Linked DNA regions of Drosophila melanogaster. The protein of the gene in region 2 interacts with the protein of the main gene of each other region in a pairwise test. Each region holds a gene or a part of one and is shown on either strand. Other genes may lie near its edges. The genes, in order: TwdlY, Cpn, Cse1 and CG34056.

The links.
Region 1: the proteins of Cpn (region 2) and TwdlY interact in a two-hybrid assay, tested with the Drosophila melanogaster proteins (one large-scale study listed by BioGRID).
Region 3: the proteins of Cpn (region 2) and Cse1 interact in a two-hybrid assay, tested with the Drosophila melanogaster proteins (one large-scale study listed by BioGRID).
Region 4: the proteins of Cpn (region 2) and CG34056 interact in a two-hybrid assay, tested with the Drosophila melanogaster proteins (one large-scale study listed by BioGRID).

Annotation. Positions count from the first base shown.
Region 1 is NC_004354.4:16,733,050-16,736,501, reverse strand, and holds TwdlY (TweedleY), read right to left. Parts: upstream 1,556-3,452; 5' UTR 1,430-1,555; coding exon 686-1,429; 3' UTR 522-685; downstream 1-521.
Region 2 is NT_033777.3:12,162,332-12,167,860, forward strand, and holds Cpn (calphotin), read right to left. Parts: upstream 3,856-5,529; 5' UTR 3,790-3,855; intron 3,343-3,789; 5' UTR 3,220-3,342; coding exon 625-3,219; 3' UTR 556-624; downstream 1-555. UniProt on the Drosophila melanogaster protein: Plays important roles in both rhabdomere development and in photoreceptor cell survival. Might function as a calcium-sequestering 'sponge' to regulate the amount of free cytoplasmic calcium. It binds 0.3 mole of Ca(2+) per mole of protein.
Region 3 is NT_033779.5:16,820,615-16,826,902, forward strand, and holds Cse1 (chromosome segregation 1), read right to left. Parts: upstream 4,594-6,288; 5' UTR 4,453-4,593; coding exon 4,368-4,452; intron 3,886-4,367; coding exon 3,026-3,885; intron 2,955-3,025; coding exon 2,471-2,954; intron 2,403-2,470; coding exon 2,100-2,402; intron 2,035-2,099; coding exon 1,878-2,034; intron 1,822-1,877; coding exon 1,521-1,821; intron 1,448-1,520; coding exon 710-1,447; 3' UTR 542-709; downstream 1-541. Other genes in the region: CG13280 (uncharacterized protein), read right to left, coding at 329-392; mdy (midway), read left to right, coding at 1-45, 104-195, 264-316, 4,796-4,904, 4,965-5,108, 5,165-5,475, 5,536-5,808, 5,869-6,102. UniProt on the Drosophila melanogaster protein: Export receptor for importin alpha. Mediates importin-alpha re-export from the nucleus to the cytoplasm after import substrates have been released into the nucleoplasm.
Region 4 is NT_037436.4:894,396-897,870, forward strand, and holds CG34056 (uncharacterized protein), read left to right. Parts: upstream 1-1,555; 5' UTR 1,556-1,719; coding exon 1,720-2,156; intron 2,157-2,212; coding exon 2,213-2,579; intron 2,580-2,634; coding exon 2,635-2,856; 3' UTR 2,857-2,969; downstream 2,970-3,475. Other genes in the region: CG34057 (uncharacterized protein), read left to right, coding at 3,088-3,475.

The DNA.
Region 1 (3,452 bases), on a different chromosome or scaffold from region 2:
ATTTTGATTTCTCACTTCATTTAAGCTAATTTCTGTTGGAAATTTTAACGGCAGCTTTGGCTTCGATTTGTGAATACCGACCGATTCCAATTCCAATTCCGATTCCGATTTGGTTTTGGATTTGGACATATATTGAAATGTGTCTGCTGATTTGAATATCTGGGGAAAACAAAGCTAAAATTTTTGTTTCTGCCTCGATTTATTTTTGACTTTGACTTTGATTTGGATTTTGATTTCGTTTTTAATTTAATTGCGCCGATGAGACATTTCAATTTTATTTATACGATTTTTATTAATTTTTTAAATGACTGACCTTCTGACTTTTTTCATACCTATTTTTACATATGGTTTTATTGGACTGGTGAAACAAGAAATGTGAGATTTTTGAAAAAATAGAAACATTGGAAATTACTGGAAGATTTTTCCAAAGCATCTTTTCATTAATTTTCACTTGATAAAAGAAATGGCAATCGAGATTTCTTTGAGAAACTTAAACACATTGCTTATGATTTTTTTTTTTTAATATAAGCTTTTTATTAACAACGGTTCGATATAACAAAAAAAAAAATACAAAAAAATATTGAGGGCGTTCTTAAGAATATACAACACAACAGGGTTCGAGAATGGGTGTTTTGTTTTCTGATTTAGATGATGGAGAGATGATCTACTGATGCACCGACATCCTCTAGTGCTTCAGCAAACTGGGCAGATACTGCGAGTTGGGCACCACTGCTGGTGGACGGTTGGCGATCTGGCGGTAGTTGTAGCTACCATCGGGATTCAGGCCATCGAGGCTGCCGATCACCGAGGTGATGGGGGCATTGTTGTCCTCCTGATACTCGTTGGTGCCTCCCAGCTTGTCGTACTGGCCCTGGATCTCCTGCTGCGCCTGCTTGGCCTCGTCGTCGGTCTTGTACTTGATGAAGAACACCTCCGGCTTGCTGGGCTGCGTGGGTGCGGGCGTGGCAATATCGCTGGCGTCCACATCGTTATCCTTCTTGCTGAGCACATAGATGACGGTCTTCTCCTCCTGTGGCGCAAACTCGGCGGAATACTTCACGTTGGCATTATCGCCGGCTGGAGCCTTGATGAACACCACGCGGTAGTTCTTCTGCGGACGTCCCAAGACCAGATGCTTCACCTTGCCATCGTTGCTGTGATCCTCGGGTGCGGAAACCAGATAGAATTTCTTGTTGATGATGGGCGCCAGGGTGGTGCTGGCCGGCGGCAGGTACTTGTCGCCACCACGGTGTGGCTGGATGCTAACCAGACCGCCACCGGAGGAGCCACCGATGCCCACACCACCAACGGGCGCCGATCCACCGCCGATGAAGATGTCCGAACTGGGCTGTTCGTAGCCGTACTGAGGACGGGCTTGGGTCAAAGCCACCAGGATCAGGCAGCTCACGAGCACTTGGTGGACAAACATGGTGTTTTTTTTTTTTTTTTTTTTTTTATATGTGTAATCCCTTCTCGAGTGTTTGTAATCCTTAATGGTAGTTCTCCTGTTTGGGATGCTTCGTTGACGAATTGCTGCGAGGCAATGATTGCATTTTGGGCCGCTCCACTTGTCTTAAATATGCTCCGATTGTCAAATGGCTGCCTCCTCTGTCGGCGTCGCTGTTTGGCCGCTTATGCAAATGCAAATGCCGCATATAACATCATCGTCGCCGCTGCTCTCGATATCCAAAGCATCGTCATCAGCGTCTTCTCTGGGCCTATGGATCCATTGGCATGGCATACGCCTTGTGATCTGACCTAAAATTTATTCAAATTAGAACGAACGCAGCCGAAATAGCAACAGCAATAGAAACCACCATAGCTTGGACTAACCATTGGACAAAGAGTCTTCTCTGACATTGAACTTGACTGGGCCGCAGCGGTGCGGTGACCCTGGCGGTCGGCTGGGCATTCACGATGGATTAGCAAATATCTAAATATACGGCTTCATAACTAGCTGATATATACCTATCTTACATGCAAAAAAGAAACTATTGAATGGGGGCCTAGCGAATCTCATTAAACGGCACCTCATCACCGCTGGCGGCATTAATCTTGTCCAGAAACACGTTTGCTGGGTTTTTTTTTTTTTTTTAGTTTGTTTGCCCACGTCTATCATTAGTTTCGGGCCTATCAATTAATTTGCGAATATCTATAACAGTTGGATTGATCAATGAATATTTGGAGACGGCTGCAAGCCAGTCAGGCTAACATTTATTTCTATATTATATGTGATATTATATATTATATATATGCTAATAAGGACCTTATTATCCAGAAGTTCCTTTTAAAATCATGTTTAGCACATTATACGAATGTAAACTATTGCTTTAATAATCCTATAACGCTTGATAATTAAGTGAAAACAAAACAGTTGCATGAAAAAATATTTGCTTGTAACAGAAATATACAAATATATAAATTCAAATTTACTTCTTTTGCAACTCTTTAGTTTTACATATATTATATTATATTATATATTATGAAAAATGAAAATGGTATTGATTTAGAATTGAGTCCCATTTAATTTCCGTTGCCTTAAAAGATCAAATCATTACCGCTCCGATTAGCCATCTCATTCGCTTTCCGGAATTTCCCATCGATTTCGACTGGTGCTTCGATATTTTTGTCACCATAAATGGTGACCCCAACGCAAAGTCCATTGGGTGAGTCAGCTGAGAAGCCAAGACGCGAACCAACATTCACTCGTCGCTTTGGAGGTCGCATAAATATTGCCAAAATAAACACATAAAACATAATTTGCACTCATCGAGCATATTTGAATAATGCCTTTGAATGGATTTATGGCCGCCAAGATTGATGACAGAGCATAAATGCATAAAACCGATTGACACTTTGCGGTGACAAACAATGGAATGGATAGTAATCCGTATTCTAACAGTTTCCAATCGATTTTCAATCCGACTAGACTAATTTAGCCATTAGCCGATCAGCGATCACAGATAGATCGCATAGATCGCATATCGCCCGTGGATTATGGAAAATCGAACAAAATGATAATTATCAATTAGGCATTCCATATTTATAACCACCTGCGATCGCGATCGCGATCGCTTGCTGTGCTGAAAATTTATGTAACATTTTATTGATGATGACAGTAATAGAAATCGAATCGAGGGACAAATCTTCGATCTTTCGATCTCAATCTTCTTCGGACCTCGGCTCTTGGCGGCTACCGTCCGTCGCGGTAGGTTTTATTTAGTAGGTGTGATTATCTTTATGCAAAAGATCTGGCCGCCGCCGCCCATTGATATGCAGATCGCCAGATTTCCGAGAGAGAGCAAGAGATATGGGAGTTGGTAACTGATTTCTGCCCTCCTCCCATTTGTAATTGATAATATATTTGTTTTGCGGGCGTGACCGCATTTGCCGCATAATATATTTAGTATGGCTAATTTTTATTTAATACCCTCAGGTATTTTAATGCGACT
Region 2 (5,529 bases):
CCGCAATAAAAGTTTTCATTTTGGCCCCTTTCGACCGTTTTTACGACTCTCGATTGACTTTTGCGTCAGGACAGATCAAAATAAATTCCATGGGCTCATTTTTAAATGAAATCAATAAGGGATAGTCTTTATATTTAAGCTTTTGAGGAAGCGTAAGCAGGAGCTTTAAATTAAATTATTCATTGATAAATTTCCAATTATCAGAAGTCGCCAGCTTTCTCGATACAAAAGCAGAGAGGTAACTCTAATTTATGTCGTTTTTTCGCTGACAAAGTGTGGGAAATATTCATTCATTTTCCCCGTTTACAATCGTCTGTATTTATGTCCCACTCCCTTTTGGAATGCTAATTTCCACGGGAAAATTTTCGACGCGCTTGCAAATTAGGTTCTGTGGCTGTGGCTTTGGAACCAGCTATGCTGATATGTCCAAAAAGTGGAAATGGTAGATTTGTTTTGGTTGCATTAATTTTGCACGGAACAATTTGTGACAACCTAGCCATACCTTGGCTCTTTTAACCCTATTATGAAAAGGAAATTAGTAATAAATTTGTATATACTTTAAAATTGGTGAAATAACGCTTTATTAGTAGCTTTACTTTACATGATCCAGGCTTTAAACTTGAGCTAATTGGATTTGGGAGGACCAAGAATTTTCTCGATTTCGCAGAGTCTGTCCATTACCTGCTGATTTCTGGCCTTTTGATCCTTTAGCTTTTCTCCAATGGCATCCAGGGTGGCTGCAATAGCCAATAGCGAAACATCGGTGGTCTGAAGATCTCTTAGCAAAGGAGTTATCTTTGCTACGGGAACGGAATCTGAGGGTGACGATGATTGTTCGGGGATTTCCGAAGTGGGAACCTCTTCAACTGCTTTCTCTGCAATGGTGGGAACAACTTCAGATATTCCCACACTAGTATTGTCTGGGTTGTCCCCGGCCGTAATTGGTACTTCGGCAGCTGGAGCTTCAGAAATCACTGGTTCTGCGTATTTTGAAACCTCCGGGACTGGTGCCTCTATTGGGATGGTGCTCTGTTCAACAATGACCTCTGCCGGCTTTGTCTCTGTCTCTGGAATTTCAGCTACTGCGATCTCTTGAGGAACCGGAGGGTCAATGAGCGGTATGGCAGTATCAGATACTTCTGCAGCAGCAGTAACGATTTCAACAGCGGGTGTGGTGATTTCGGTAGCTGGAGCACCGTCATTAATGTTTGCAACATCTGGTTCCTGAGTAGTGACAGGAGCTTCAGTTATGGCAGGATCCAGGACTTTTTCGGCTACAGGATACTCAACCGTAGTTTCTGGAATCGATGTTGAAGTTTCTGTCACCGGCACCTCTACAGCATCCACTGCTTCCTGGATTACGACAGGTGCCTCCACAGGTATGGGTTCTGTAGGGGTCGCTAGGCTTGGTTCCGGTTCAGGTATGGGCTCTGGAGCTGTAATTGGAGCGACAGCCACTTCTGGAGAGGCAACTGCTTCATTTGGCGGCGGTAATGAGGTCTCTGGTATTGGTGAAGATGTTGATTCTGCAGCTTCAACAGCTGGCACGGATGTAGTTTGTTCTAATAAATCCGGAATAGGAGCTGGTGGTTCCACAGGCTCGATTATTAAATCCGCAGCTGCCTCAGGTGGAGCAACGTCTGCAACTGCAACTTCTGTTGTAACTTCGACAGGCGGTGCAACTGGCGTTTCAATGGCAGCTTCTGATAGTACAGAAACATCGATAGGTTCCGTAGGCACTGCCGCAGGTGGTGCCGTGGTCTCGGGAACAGAAGCCGTAGTTGGTGGAGTAGAAACGATGGGAGCAGCGGCAGACGGAGCTTCAGCAGGTGCATCAGAGGGTGCGGCGATCACAGGAGCAACTTCTGGTATATCTAAAGCTGCTATGGTCACTGGTGCTGATGCTGGTGCTGGTGTCTCAGGAGTTTCTTCAGCCACTACAGCTGGTACAGGTTCGGCAGCCACAGGAGGGAGAACAGGTGGCGCTAAGTCGACAGGAGTTTCAGCAACAGCACTAGGAACGGGTGATGGAGCGATCACCGGAGGTAATTCGGGAACAGCAGATGCAGTGACATCCGGATCCGTTACTGCTAGTGTTGCAGGAACTGGTGTCGTGGCAACGACTGGCGCTGGTATTGATTCTGCGGCCACAGGAGGTACAACGGGTGGTGTTGTCTCAGCAACAGCAACTGAAGCAACTTCTGGGGTTTCTGCAACAACAGGTGGTGCAATGGTTTCTGGCTCTGGGGCTGGAGTAGGAGGTGTAGCTACAACAGTATTCGCAGCAACTTGGGACTCGGCAACGACTGGAGCAAGGGCTGGCGTTTCTGGTGCAGTTGTTAGAGTCGCAGCAGCTACCGGGGGCTCAGTCGAAGCACTTACAGGAGCGACCACTGCGGTCTCCACAGCTGGTGCAACCGACACATGGGGGGAAGCTGCAGCCGGAGCAACGACTGGGGTTTCAGTAGCCGGTGGAGCAACGACCACTGGCTCAGCTGCAGCTAGTGGTTTCGTTGCCACGACGGAAACCTCGGGGATGAGAGGTGCAACGCACTCCGGTATGGTTGCAACCGGAATCTCAGCAACAGGTGGTGGAGCTGGAGTCTCGGCGACGACGGGGGCAACTGCAGGAGCAACGGCAGGCGCAAGAACTGGGGCAACAACAGGAACAGCAGCTGGTACAGCAGCTACAGGTGCTGCAACGGGAACCGTGGTGTTAGCGGGAACCACAGGTGGTGTGGCGATCACAGGCGAAACAACGGGAGTCACGGCAGCCGGAGTGGGGGCAGAGGCAGCAACAGGTGGTGTCGCTATCACAGGCGCAGCTACAGGAATTGGGGCAACAGGAGTGGGTGTTGCAGCAACGGGAGGTGCCACTGGTGCTGAAACAGCGACCGGAATCTGAGCAACAGCAACGGGTGGTGTTGAAACTGGACTTGCTGCCGGCGGAGTTGGAGCTGCAACAACTGGAGGCGCCACAGATGCGACAGGAGCGACGGATGCGGCAGCAATTGGAGCTGGAGCTGGAATAGTAACTGTTGCCGGTTGCACACTTGCAAGGGTGGGCGGTGGAGCAACTGGAGTGACTGCAATCGGTGCCGCTGGTGCGGGAGCCACTGCCGCAGGACTTACTACTTGGACAGGGGCAGCCACTGCTGATGGCGTCACAGGCGCAGCAACTGGTGCTGAAACAGGCGATGGAATGGTTCCTGGTTCCATGTCTATCCTTTGCCCACTTTCACATAAAAGTTAATCCGTTTTTTCCTTTTGGGCGGATTGTGCCTTGTCCAATGCTTAGTTGCAAAAATGTTTCATGGCCAGCTTTTCATGGTCAGAAGACAACTGAAAACAGAGGAATGAAAACGAGAAAAACATGAGACATGGCAAGGCTGGATCTGACCATGATTTAGGCCATTGTCTTAAATAAAATTAAATCGATGAGAAACCACGTAAGAATGAGAAAAATAAGAATAAAAGTTCTCCGGAAAATACTGATTCAAATATCTATACAATAAAATTACATTGATTAAATGAGATTAGAATTGTCTTCACTACATGAGAAGTAAAAGTAAGAGCAATTGAGTTAACTAGTCTCTTGCTTCTGACGTCTATTCGAAATATATTTTTCTTTTACAAAACTGTAGTTGCTAAATTATGTAAGAGAAAACAAGGCACTTGCACAATTTCGTTCAAAAATTCGAAAATAAGCGGTCAGCAATGAAATGGTCAACTATTAGGAACTGCCTCTTAGGTAAGTCAATCCTTTTGAATATTTTCAATATTATTAACCAATTTAATTTGTTGAATAGTTTTAAACAGCGACCGACTTGCCGATGAGAAAAACGGTGTTTAACTGGCCCGTTGACTCAGTTTTCTTGGACATTTTTACCTCTTTTCATTGGTTTACCTTCGGTCAGAAGTCCGACAACTGCCCATTGAGCGCAGAAAGTATACGCATAGTTTCAAGTGCTTTTTGCGTTTTTCCAATTCCCAGACACTAAGGTGCTTATCAGCTGACCTTAGCCACATATTAAATTTGTTCCGGCTCGCACGAGGAAACATTTGGCGCTGAAAAGTGTGCTACATGCGTTGGCGCCCACCACTGCGTATGAGTGATATTCGCATATTATTCGATTATCGATTCCGTTCGCATCTTGCCAAATGCATCGGGTAGATAAATCGGGGAAACGCTTTCAAGAATTTATTCGCGATCCAGTGCATATCGCTTACCACTCGCTTTGTCAGCTGCACTCGCAGACACATAACTGGTTATTTACACAATACTGATTACTTTGCCGTATTTGCAATGTAGTTGTCAACAAAATGCGACAGGTTCCCGCGCTGCCCCGCACTGCCCCGCCCTCACCCGACCCTCCACAATCCATTTGCTATCGTGGCCCATTCAATGTCTGATGCAATGACAGTTGACAAACTGCCACTACGTAGCCGTTGGATCGGAACACATTAGCTCGGTGGAAATGTAATCGCAAAGAACTAAGAAATAAATCTTTCAATTTTTCGAGTGAATGCCGGGTAGGAAGTGCAGCCAAATGTAAAGCAATCCACAGAGGCAGCCGGCAGTTGCACATGCCGTCCGTTGGAGCAAGTGTAATGTGATCTGCGTACAATTTGCAGGCGTCGTTTTAAAAAGTCCAACACCAACACGTCCACCTACACCTTCGCCTCACTTGCCCCTCTGCTGGCCGGGAACCGAGCACACTTGAGACTTTTGCAAATAGTTTTTCCACATATGAACAGAAAGAATTTTTCTCGCAGGATGGAAAATAAAAAGAGTTGCGAACGAAAAGAAAAGAAATACATACATATATATAAATAGACGAGATGGGAAAACGCTTATATGGAAATGATTTCACTGGAGAAGTGGAGGAGCGATGCGGAGTAGTTGTGAAGATTGAATTGGCAGTTCAATTTCACGTATTATTGACATTTAAGCGTAAGCATTTGAATATAAACTGAACCCGGCTCAGGGATTGAATGCTTGGAAGGCCGAGAGCGAGTCCTTTCACAGGATGCACAGACATTGGCTGCCTATTATTTTCTGTGCGATAAATCAATCGCATGAAGCAAAATGCAGAGAAAATACCAAGATAAGTGGAAATGAAATTACATCAAGCATACAAATTGTATTTATACTTTATTCTATCTCCTCCTGCATCACTGAACTCGACAATTGATCTGAGCTGCGAAGGAGTTTGCGTACCTCAACAAATACATTTGATTTTCTTCGAATCTGTGGTCACTGATGAGTGATCTCAAATTGTAATTGCCAGCAATAGAATAGAAGTTTTTGTCATATTTTACAAATATTTCTCAAACAATGTTTTATACCGAAAAACAATACTCGGATGAAATCCATTCCCTGAAACAATGGATATTGCATTCCTGGCTATTTTCGAAGGTGAGGCGATCAACTACAAAAAAAAAAAAAAAACATAAATCAGCGCAGCGTATACACCTAATTGCCGTCATTTTGCACGCACTGTAAGAGTGTGGAAAGTCGGGCCCGTG
Region 3 (6,288 bases), on a different chromosome or scaffold from region 2:
GCTCTGCATTGGAGGTCTGCGTTTGGGCTTGGAGAATCTCCTAAAGTAACTACGATGATCTTGAGTAGAAATACAAGTTTTAGCTAATTCATTATTTTTTTAGGTATGGCATTCGCATCAATCCACTGGATTGGTTCTTCTTCATAAGCGGACACAACGAAGGCGAAGGACATAACGCCCTAATCCTGAGCATTTGTAAGCACGCACAAAATCAAGGATTACGCAAACGAAATTGATAACCTTCGTCTCACCATATTTTACAGACTCTTTAGTGCATATCTCGCTCTGTTTGGCTGTGGAGAAGGGTCTAGCCATGGTAAGTACTTACTTTGATAGCATCTCACGCCTATTTTCTTCGATCGTGACTTGAAATACGTTATTAGCTTGAACATGGCTTATATGATAAATTTCGAAATATCTAGTTAATTCTAAATTCACAATTTTGAAATTGAGTGAAGGGTGTTTGACAAGAAATGATTTGTTTATCAGAGAGAAAAGTATGAAATATTCAGAAGTTATCGCAGTTGAAACACACTAGTTTCGGAAAACATAATTTTTAATTGTTTACAAAACTTACATATATTAGATACAATTTTTAAATGACAATAAACTGGGCATGCAATGAGTGATCGAGTGCGTGTATGCATAAATTTTCGAATGTATGGCGAGGTTTGATTGCGATGAATGAGCTTAAAGTCGGTCGATTCCTTTAGGCAATGCGTACTCCAGCCTGATCACAATATTTCTGGAGTACTTGCTTGTACTCCGGCTCCAGGGGCGACAACAAAGTGGAAAATTCTCCTGCCCTAGCCTGGGCAAACTTAGAGAGCGAAGTTGCTAGAAACTGGCGAGCATCCTTAATCTCAGCCAGGTGATCCTGCTGGTTGGGCTGGGCATGAGTCAGTTGGGCAAATGCCACTTGATAGCCCGCATCGGGATCTTCGGCAACTCCAGCTGTCTCTCCTATTTCGAGACCCATCAATTTCTCTGGTGGTCGTTCAAAAAGATCGATTAGAGAATGCAGCAGTCGTGGCCAGAAAGTAGCGTACTGTTGCTGCAATATCTCAGGAGTTTCTGTAAGTAGCTTAGTGACACCCACGGCCACCATTTTGCGATCCTGTTCCTTGGGAATCTTGCCCATTTCGGTGATAAACACGCGGTCCAGCAGCATGCCAAATAGGTTAGGCTGAATCTCATCTATCAATTGAGCCATCTGACTGCCACTGAACTTAATCACATAAAAGCTAAAGAAGATAATGATGCCGCTTAAATACTTCGGAGTCTTTGAGAGAGACAATCGCTGGAAGAGCAGGCCAAAGATCTGACGAAGATTAGTTTGAATCTCAGCGGGAGGGTAGTAGGAAAGCAGATTCTGGAGAAGATAAAACCCTTCATGGTCATTAGCCTTGGAGGCAATCATCTTTTGGAATATTCCGAGGATACCGCTCTGAAATATATGTTGAAAAATGCATAAGATTGGACTCTGTAAAATAAAATTTGTGATGTATAATATAACTTACCAGTTTACCCAAGGCTTGAATCTGAGCAGATCCCTGCTTGATGAAAGCAGAAATCAGGCGAATTAATGGTGTGACATTGCCCGTCCTGTCCCACAGAGCTGGTGACAACAAGCAGGGGAACAAAGCCCAATAGGGTTCCGGTATGGTACCAGTGCCCTCGCGCATTTCCAACAGCACAGAAAGCATCTGGAAGACGTAGGGCATAAATTCGACAATGTCCTGCTGTAAGATGCCCTGGAAAACTGGGAACAATGCCTCCTCAAAGGAGCTCACAGCCGAGGAATCGGCGTGACAAACAATTCTAGGGAAAAAGAAAATTTGTTATTGCTCTTTACCACCAAAATGCATAACACTTACTTTATACACAGAGCCAGCGTTTCAAAAAGATAGTGGTTGAACTGCGGACGCGATGGATTCTTGGCCACTTGGGTGAGAATCTCGGTAAGCCGTGGAAGGGCGACGCCCATAAAGGGCATGGCGGCCGATTGCAAGACCGAAAAACTTCGCATAATGGCTAATAATAATAATTAGAGTTTTGTTAACATATTAGAAACGTATGAGATAGTCCCCCAAACTCACCTTTCATTACGTACTCATTTTCACCGGAACCTGGGAGTGAAAGGGTCGCAAATAACCCACTAATTAGTTCAGTTGTGTAAGGTGCTAAAATCTGAGGACCAAAAACGATCGCGTTGCTAGCATCCCGCATAGAAAGGATCTTCTCCACTGAACAAGCAGCATAGCTATGAACAACAGAGCTTTCGGCGGGGAGATGTCGAATTAGCTGGGGCAGGCAGCTTGCTAAGACTTGGGGACCCAAAATGCTGCGGAACACCATTACATACTTAATTGCAGCAGCCTTAAGAACAGGAAACTCGTTAACTGCAAAGAGCATTGGAAGAATGCAGATATAAGATGATCGAATTGGGAAAATGGTTATTTGGGCTTACTGTTGGGTCTTTCCAGTTCTGGAATAATTTGCTGGGCACAAAATTCGGGAAGTGGAACCAACTCCGAGGTCTGTGTGATGCCATGCTTTTGAGTTCCTCCTCGAGATGCCCACGAAGTAACCAAATAAATTGCCGTATCCTTTGACCTCCAATTGGTAGCCGGATTCTCCTTGTACTTGGTCAACAATCTCTCTAGATACTGGCCAAAAATGCCAAAGATCTTTTGTTCAAAGTTGATTGATAGAGTCTTCACCAGATCACATGCCGCCCGACGTCGTGTGTCAATGTCAGAGCCTTCAATATCCCTTCGAATGTACTCCTCCGGACTGTCCTCGAAAATTTCTTCATCTGAGGGCCGGATGTCTAGATTGGGAATGACAACTTTATCGCAGATCTGAGCAAGAATCTCTGGGTTCTCGAAAATGCTCTGATAATGCTGGCGGTCAGCCACCACAGAGAGGAACTGCAGAGCATGGGAGACCAACTGTGCGCAAAATAAGAATGGAAAAATTATAAAAATAATTATTAAGAAAGCGTATGGTTTCTGTTACTTACCGAATCGTACTTGGTGTGCAAACTTGTCTTGACCAGTAACTCCCAAACTGCAGTCACAAATTGCTCCATAAATGGCTTGAACTCCTCGTCGTACTTTTTTGCATAAAGGCAAATGTTCTCGCAGACTTGAGCACGCAGATGCTCTAGAACACCCGCATCCTCATCATCTGCAGTACGCAGGGATGGCACATCCGCAGCTAGTTGCTGAATAAACGCTCCCATCCACGTATTGATATTGTCCTCAAAGAACTCCGGCAAATCTTGGGAGTTGAGCGAGAAAAACACCTTGTTCACAAGGACCAATGAACCGTAGATGACCTTCAGGGCGCCGGCATTGTTCTCGTGCACCTTAGTCAACTGCATTGTGGCCTGGAGCAGGTCTGTCAGAGGTTTAGCCATACGATCCAGTACAAATTTGATCTCCTCCCACAAAGCCTGCGACTTGAACTCATAACGATAGCGCTTGAAAAGCGAGTGTGCGGTTTGCAAAACGCCGTTGATGACATTGAAATCACCAGAGGCAAATCTCTCCACCATCTCGTCGATAAGCTGCGGCCATTTTTTGGGAAAATCATATTTGCCTATGATGCTGACCGCGTCGCTTAGTTGTTTTTGCAATGCCACCGGTGAGTGGAGCATTAGCGTAACGATCAAGGTCTTAATTGTATTCCTGTCACTTTCGTGGATGCGATCCGGTCCGTCGCTGTCAAGGTGGGCTGCCCAATTCCGCTTAATATAGTTCTTAAAGGCAATGGCTCCCGCCACCCGCGTAGTCATGTCCATTTGGGCTTTGTCTATCAGATTGAGCAGTAGGATCGGGTAATTCTGCTGTAGTTCCGTGGACTCCAAAAGTTTTTCGGCTATAAAAGTAGAGAAGGAAATGGTGTGTTTGTTAGAACTATTGTACTTATGTAAATCGGATGTTGCAAATACAAATATATAAGGAACCGATAGGAGCTTACAGTGTTTCTCGTTAGACTAAACATATTTTCAATTCAAGCAATAAGTTTTTTATACAATATTTTCAAAAGCTTGGTTATGGTGGTGCGGAGTCTATAGGCTTGGTATGCCTTAAATAATCCTAAAACTAGGTCTATGGTTTTGAAAGGTGGCTTGGCAACAGTCATATCAAGATCAGCTAATCTCGATTCAATTAATAGAAAGCGTGACTGTATAAATTCTTTGACATAGGGAAAACTTGTAGACAACTTCAAATGGATTTAAAAACCGTATTTTTCTTTGGCGTCGCCAAAAACCATTTCCCGCGCACATACACATCAGCACCCCTGCACGCATGTGCAGTTGTGTGTGTGCACATGCATTCCTACACACACACACTCACCCGGCCGGCGGACATTGGGATCGGCGCTCAGCGTCTGCTGCAAATAACCGGCCAGCAGCTGTAAATTTGCCTCTGTCACTTCCATTTTGAGTATATTTTCTTTTCGATGGTCCTATTTGCTTTAATTTATATCACTCGTGGCTTGTTCCTCCACACTCTTGCAACATGAAATGAAATCGCAATTCGTTTTCGCACACAATGCTCGCCGATCTGGGGATGGAACTCAGGGCGAGTTTTCGATATCGATTGTTTATAGTTACTGTTACTAGGATTCGATGGTTTTAGATTTTAAATGTTCATATCAGAAATATCGCATATTGAACTTTACTAATTTAGTATCATTTGATATGATATCAATTCCTGTTTTTTTTTTTCAAAAACCAACTGAATGAATTAAAAATTAAAACAAATTTGTAATTCTTTTCCAGGAAATAATTGCAGAGGGCTTGGGCTTGTTCATCCAGATAGTGAACATTGTTGTCTTGGTTTGCCTACCGGTGGTAACAATTCACCTAAAAGGACATGCTTTTAGTTTGAGTGAGAAATTAACTTAGTTTAGGTGTATTTTAAAATATTTAATTATCTGTTAATCTTTAGTGGGCGCTTCAACAGTTTGCTTCTTTTACTCTGTGTTGTTCCTAAAACTATGGTCCTATGTGCAGACGAATATGTGGTGCCGTCAGACTTATTATCAAAAGAATCCGCGGGAGCGTCGACCAAGCATAACTTTGGCGGAACTAAGTATGTTGAGATCTCTCAACGGAATGTCATATATTAAAAATTCATCTTTCATCCAGAAAAAGGAGTTTTGAATGGAGGTGAAGAAGACGAGGACGTTTCCAAGCTGGTGCAATATCCTGATAATCTCACATACAAGGATCTCCTGTACTTCCTTTGCGCGCCCACTCTCTGCTATGAGTTGAATTTCCCGCGAACTTCTCGCGTGCGCAAACGCTTTTTGCTGAAGCGTTTATTGGAGGTGGTGATTGGAGTGAATGTGGTTATGGCCTTGTTTCAACAATGGATCATTCCATCGGTTCGGAACTCCCTGATTCCGTTCTCCAATATGGACGTGGCCTTAGCCACTGAGCGACTTCTTAAACTTGCGGTTGGTAGAGTGAAAATTATAAAACGTTTGAGTATTATTTAATAATTTTTCTTTAATTAGCTACCCAATCATCTTTGCTGGCTCTGCTTTTTCTATCTAATGTTCCACTCTTTTCTTAATGCGGTCGGCGAACTGCTGAATTTTGCAGATCGCAATTTTTATTGTGATTGGTGGAATGCGAATAACATTGACACCTTCTGGCGTACATGGAACATGCCAGTTCATAGGTGGTGCGTGCGTCATCTCTACATCCCTGTGGTCCAAATGGGATATTCCTCAAGACAGGCCTCTACTATTGTCTTTCTTTTCAGTGCCGTCTTCCATGAATATTTGGTATGAGGGTTGATATTTAGAATTTCAAATTTTGTACAATAATATAATTTATATTTTCAGGTTTCAGTTCCTTTGCAAATATACAAGATCTGGGCATTTATGGGCATGATGGGTCAGATTCCCCTATCGGCCATATCCAAATCCATTGAAAAGAAACTGGGTCCCCGAATGGGCAATATAATCGTGTGGGCTTCCATTATTCTTGGTCAGCCTCTGTGCATAATGGCCTATTATCACGATTATGTCGTCCAGCATTTCAAAAACTCGCTCAACGGCACCGACTACAGTAGTTAGGTTTCAAAAAAGGTTAACATTTAAAAATGGAGCAACACTGAAATATCTGCATCGGTCGGGTCCGTGTACTTTTCGTAATTTATAAGCCAGAATGCAAGTTAAGAAGGAAACTTGTGATTGCCAATTTACAAAGCATATTTTGTATGACTTTTGCACATGCATGTAGTACTGATTAACACAAATAGA
Region 4 (3,475 bases), on a different chromosome or scaffold from region 2:
ATTTTCGATTATATAAAAATATTTTATTTTTTTTGTAACTGTTATATAATTTGTGGAATACTCCAAAAAAAAATGTATGTTTATCAGCACCTATTGTTATGTCCAATACGAAAAGTGTGTTTTAAAGCCATTGCGGAAATGGAATTGGTAACTGAATTTATATCTTATTTAACCAATTATCTTTTTTTTTTGTAAGCTCCAACTGCCTGATGGTCTTGAAACGCACTGTTCTGTGTCCTAATTTTTCGTATAACCAAAACATGATTTTTCTTTGAAACTTTTATATTTTTTGTAATACCCAAGTCACATTCTGTTGTCCCCGATTAATGTATGTTTTAGTTTTAAGTAGTTTCTAAGGCTGTGTAACTAACTAACATAAGTAATAATCCCTTTTTGCGTATGGCCAGGTATAAAGAGGTATCGTCACCCCGAATGTTGTAATTAAGTTTGCCGGACAATTTTTGTTTATTTCGCAACCTTTTCCTTTTTTTTGAAGCCTCTGACCAGAGGCTCCTCCGATAAACAGAAATTGGCAAGTGCACTTACTAAACGTATAACGAGGATTAGCATGTAATCGGAGGAAGTAATAGAGTTGCTCCAAGTACGCTGAGCCAGCTGACAAACTAATATTACAAGTTTTGTAACAAAGTTTTCTAAGGCCAGAGATGAGTGTATGAAAGGCGGCGAAAGGCCCAATAGCAAAGAATAACAAGACACTAGATGTTTAACAATGCGAAACGATTAACAACACAATCTGAAGTGAAATAATTAGTCCACATTTAGTCTAAAGAAACCATGCTAAAGTAAATCTACAAAGTAAAGCGAATTCAGTTAAACTAAGTAAACATAACAAGCGGATATGTACCATGGAAAGCTAAATCATAAACGACCGAAATGAAATGAACATTATCTAGCAATAAAATAAACGAGTGATTTCATTGCCACAAGCAAAGCCGTTCGCTCTGGATTAACTGGGATTTCAGTGGGCGAGAGGCGCTAACTTGTGCCGGAGTGGGTCAAGAGGAGGTTCCAAACCGGTTGGCCACAAAAATAGATGCCGGTGCGTTCCTCCGGATGCTCTTGGCCCACGAAAGGGAAAGGGAAACCATTCGGCGGCTAGTCAGCCGATAATTGTCAGCGACTTTGGACCAAATTTAGTCTTGTTTTGGTTTCCTATTGTTGACTATTGGAAAGATTTGCTGAAAGAGACGACCGACGCGACATGGCAGCGAAGACGAACTCACCGCACCACGTGTGACTCATTACAAATGCCAATCACAAGCCAAAGCTGAAAACTCGTTTTGGCCGGGCTGAGAGAGGTGCACTTGAAACAAAATCTTATGCGGCAACTTAAATATGTTTTTTTTCTGATTATTAATCGTTTTTGGTTTGCAGCCTTCAACAAATTGTTTCCGTTTCTTATATTATGTTTATAAAAATGATTTATTTTTTGTTGGAAGCTACTATGAAATTGTTTCTTTCAGTGACTTTAATTGCCCACATCTTTCTCAGTTGGGGGAGACTCTTTAAGCCATTTGCGATGTGAGCCCATCGAGCAGTCGACGATCAGCTGGCGGCGATGAGCGACACCGCGAAATGCATTCGCTGTGCCCCCGGCTCGTTTTGTAAGAGCTCCACTCCAGTGCCCTCCATTTCCCCACAGCGGAATCGCCAAATGCCAGCTGGAGCTGGTTAGTTGCAGCCAGGAACACTCTCGCCATGTATCGCAATATACTCTGCCTGGTGCTGGGCCTCATCATTGGCATTCAACTGACAGACTTCTTAGAGTACTTTCAGCTGACCGATAGTCAGTTCGCCAGCACGTCCATTACGCAGCTGGAGGAAGGGGCCAGCCAGCTGGCGACGGAGGAGGAACTGGCCTTGTGGCTCCATAACGAGACACGGGTACTCTGCATGGTGCTAACCCTGCCAAAGAATCACCAATCAAGAGTGAGACGAGTTAAGGGCACATGGGGCAGGCGCTGCAACAAGCTGATCTTCATCAGCAGCCAGGAGGATCGGGAACTGGGCGTCATTGATGTGGGCGTGCCCGAGGATCGAAACAACCTGTATCTCAAAATGAGGAAGGCCCTAGAGTATGTGTACCGGAACCATGGAGAAGACTACGACTGGTTCCTCAAGGCAGATGATGACACGTAAGTGAAAACATACCGAGTTCCAAAATCACATATTCATTTTCACCCAATTTTAGCTTTGTGATAATGGAAAACCTGCGCTTCCTGCTCTATCCCTATGATCCCGAGGCAGCGCTCTACTTTGGCCACAGATTCCGCACCACCTTTCCGCAGGGCTACATGTCCGGAGGAGCTGGCTATGTGATGAGTCGGGATGCACTGCGTCGGCTCAATCTCTTTGCCTTCAACAACAGCCAATTCTGCCCGATTAACAACAATTCAGAGGACAGGCAGATTGGCTTCTGCCTGCAAAATGTGGGAGTAGTTGCAGGGGATTCGCGGGATGAGGAAGGCCGGGATCGGTTTCTGCCCTTGTCTCTCAAATTTATGCTGCCTACCTTTCCCACCGACAATTGGCTGCCCAAACTGACATTTTATGAACCAGTATGTATAATATCTTAGAAAGTACTACATTATTTCTAATATATTATTGTTTCAGGTGAATGAAACTGGCTCGACTTCGGGAATCAGCTTTCACTATGTCAAAATCCACGAGTTCGAAATGTATGAATACCTGCTATATCGATTGCACATTTTTGGAACTCCCTTGTCCCAGAGAACGCTGCCACCCCGACTGGGTCCCGATGAACTGCAGAATCAGCTGAATCAGTGGGCTCAAGAAAATAGCACGAATTCAAACGCGTGGCTGAAACAAGAATAATATATATAGTATATTAGTACATATTTAAGACTCATTTTAACATACCGACAGTCAAATAGAATTAGTTTTTAAACTCTTAAGAATATCATTAAATAGAAAACAATTGTTTTTATACTTTCAAGACTTTGTGACTGACTGCCATCAGCAGTTTACCAACGAACAAATTGTATTGTTTCACGGACTCTCTAATCGAAATGTATAAACGAAATTGCTGCGCCAATTGGACACAGCATGGGATCTCTCTTCTCACCAAAGAAAATACTGCAATCGCAGTATACAATGATCCTGGTAATGATTCGGAACATCATCTTCCTCGTCTTAGGCATTATGTTGGGCATTCGACTCACCGATTTTATAGGCTACCTGAAGCTGTGGAGGAATAATGACTTGCGGGCGAGTGAGAAGGCTGCTCTACTTAAGTATCCAGTGGCCTCGGAGGAGCACCTGGCTACCTGGCTGAGAAGGGAGGTGCGCATACTCTGCCTAGTGCTCACGATGCCATCTTCACATGCCACAAAGGCGGCGTTGGTAAATCGGACATGGGGAGCGCGTTGCAATAAGCTGATCTTTATGAGCAGCCAAACAGATTCCAATCTGAACATACTCCAGATAAACAAAT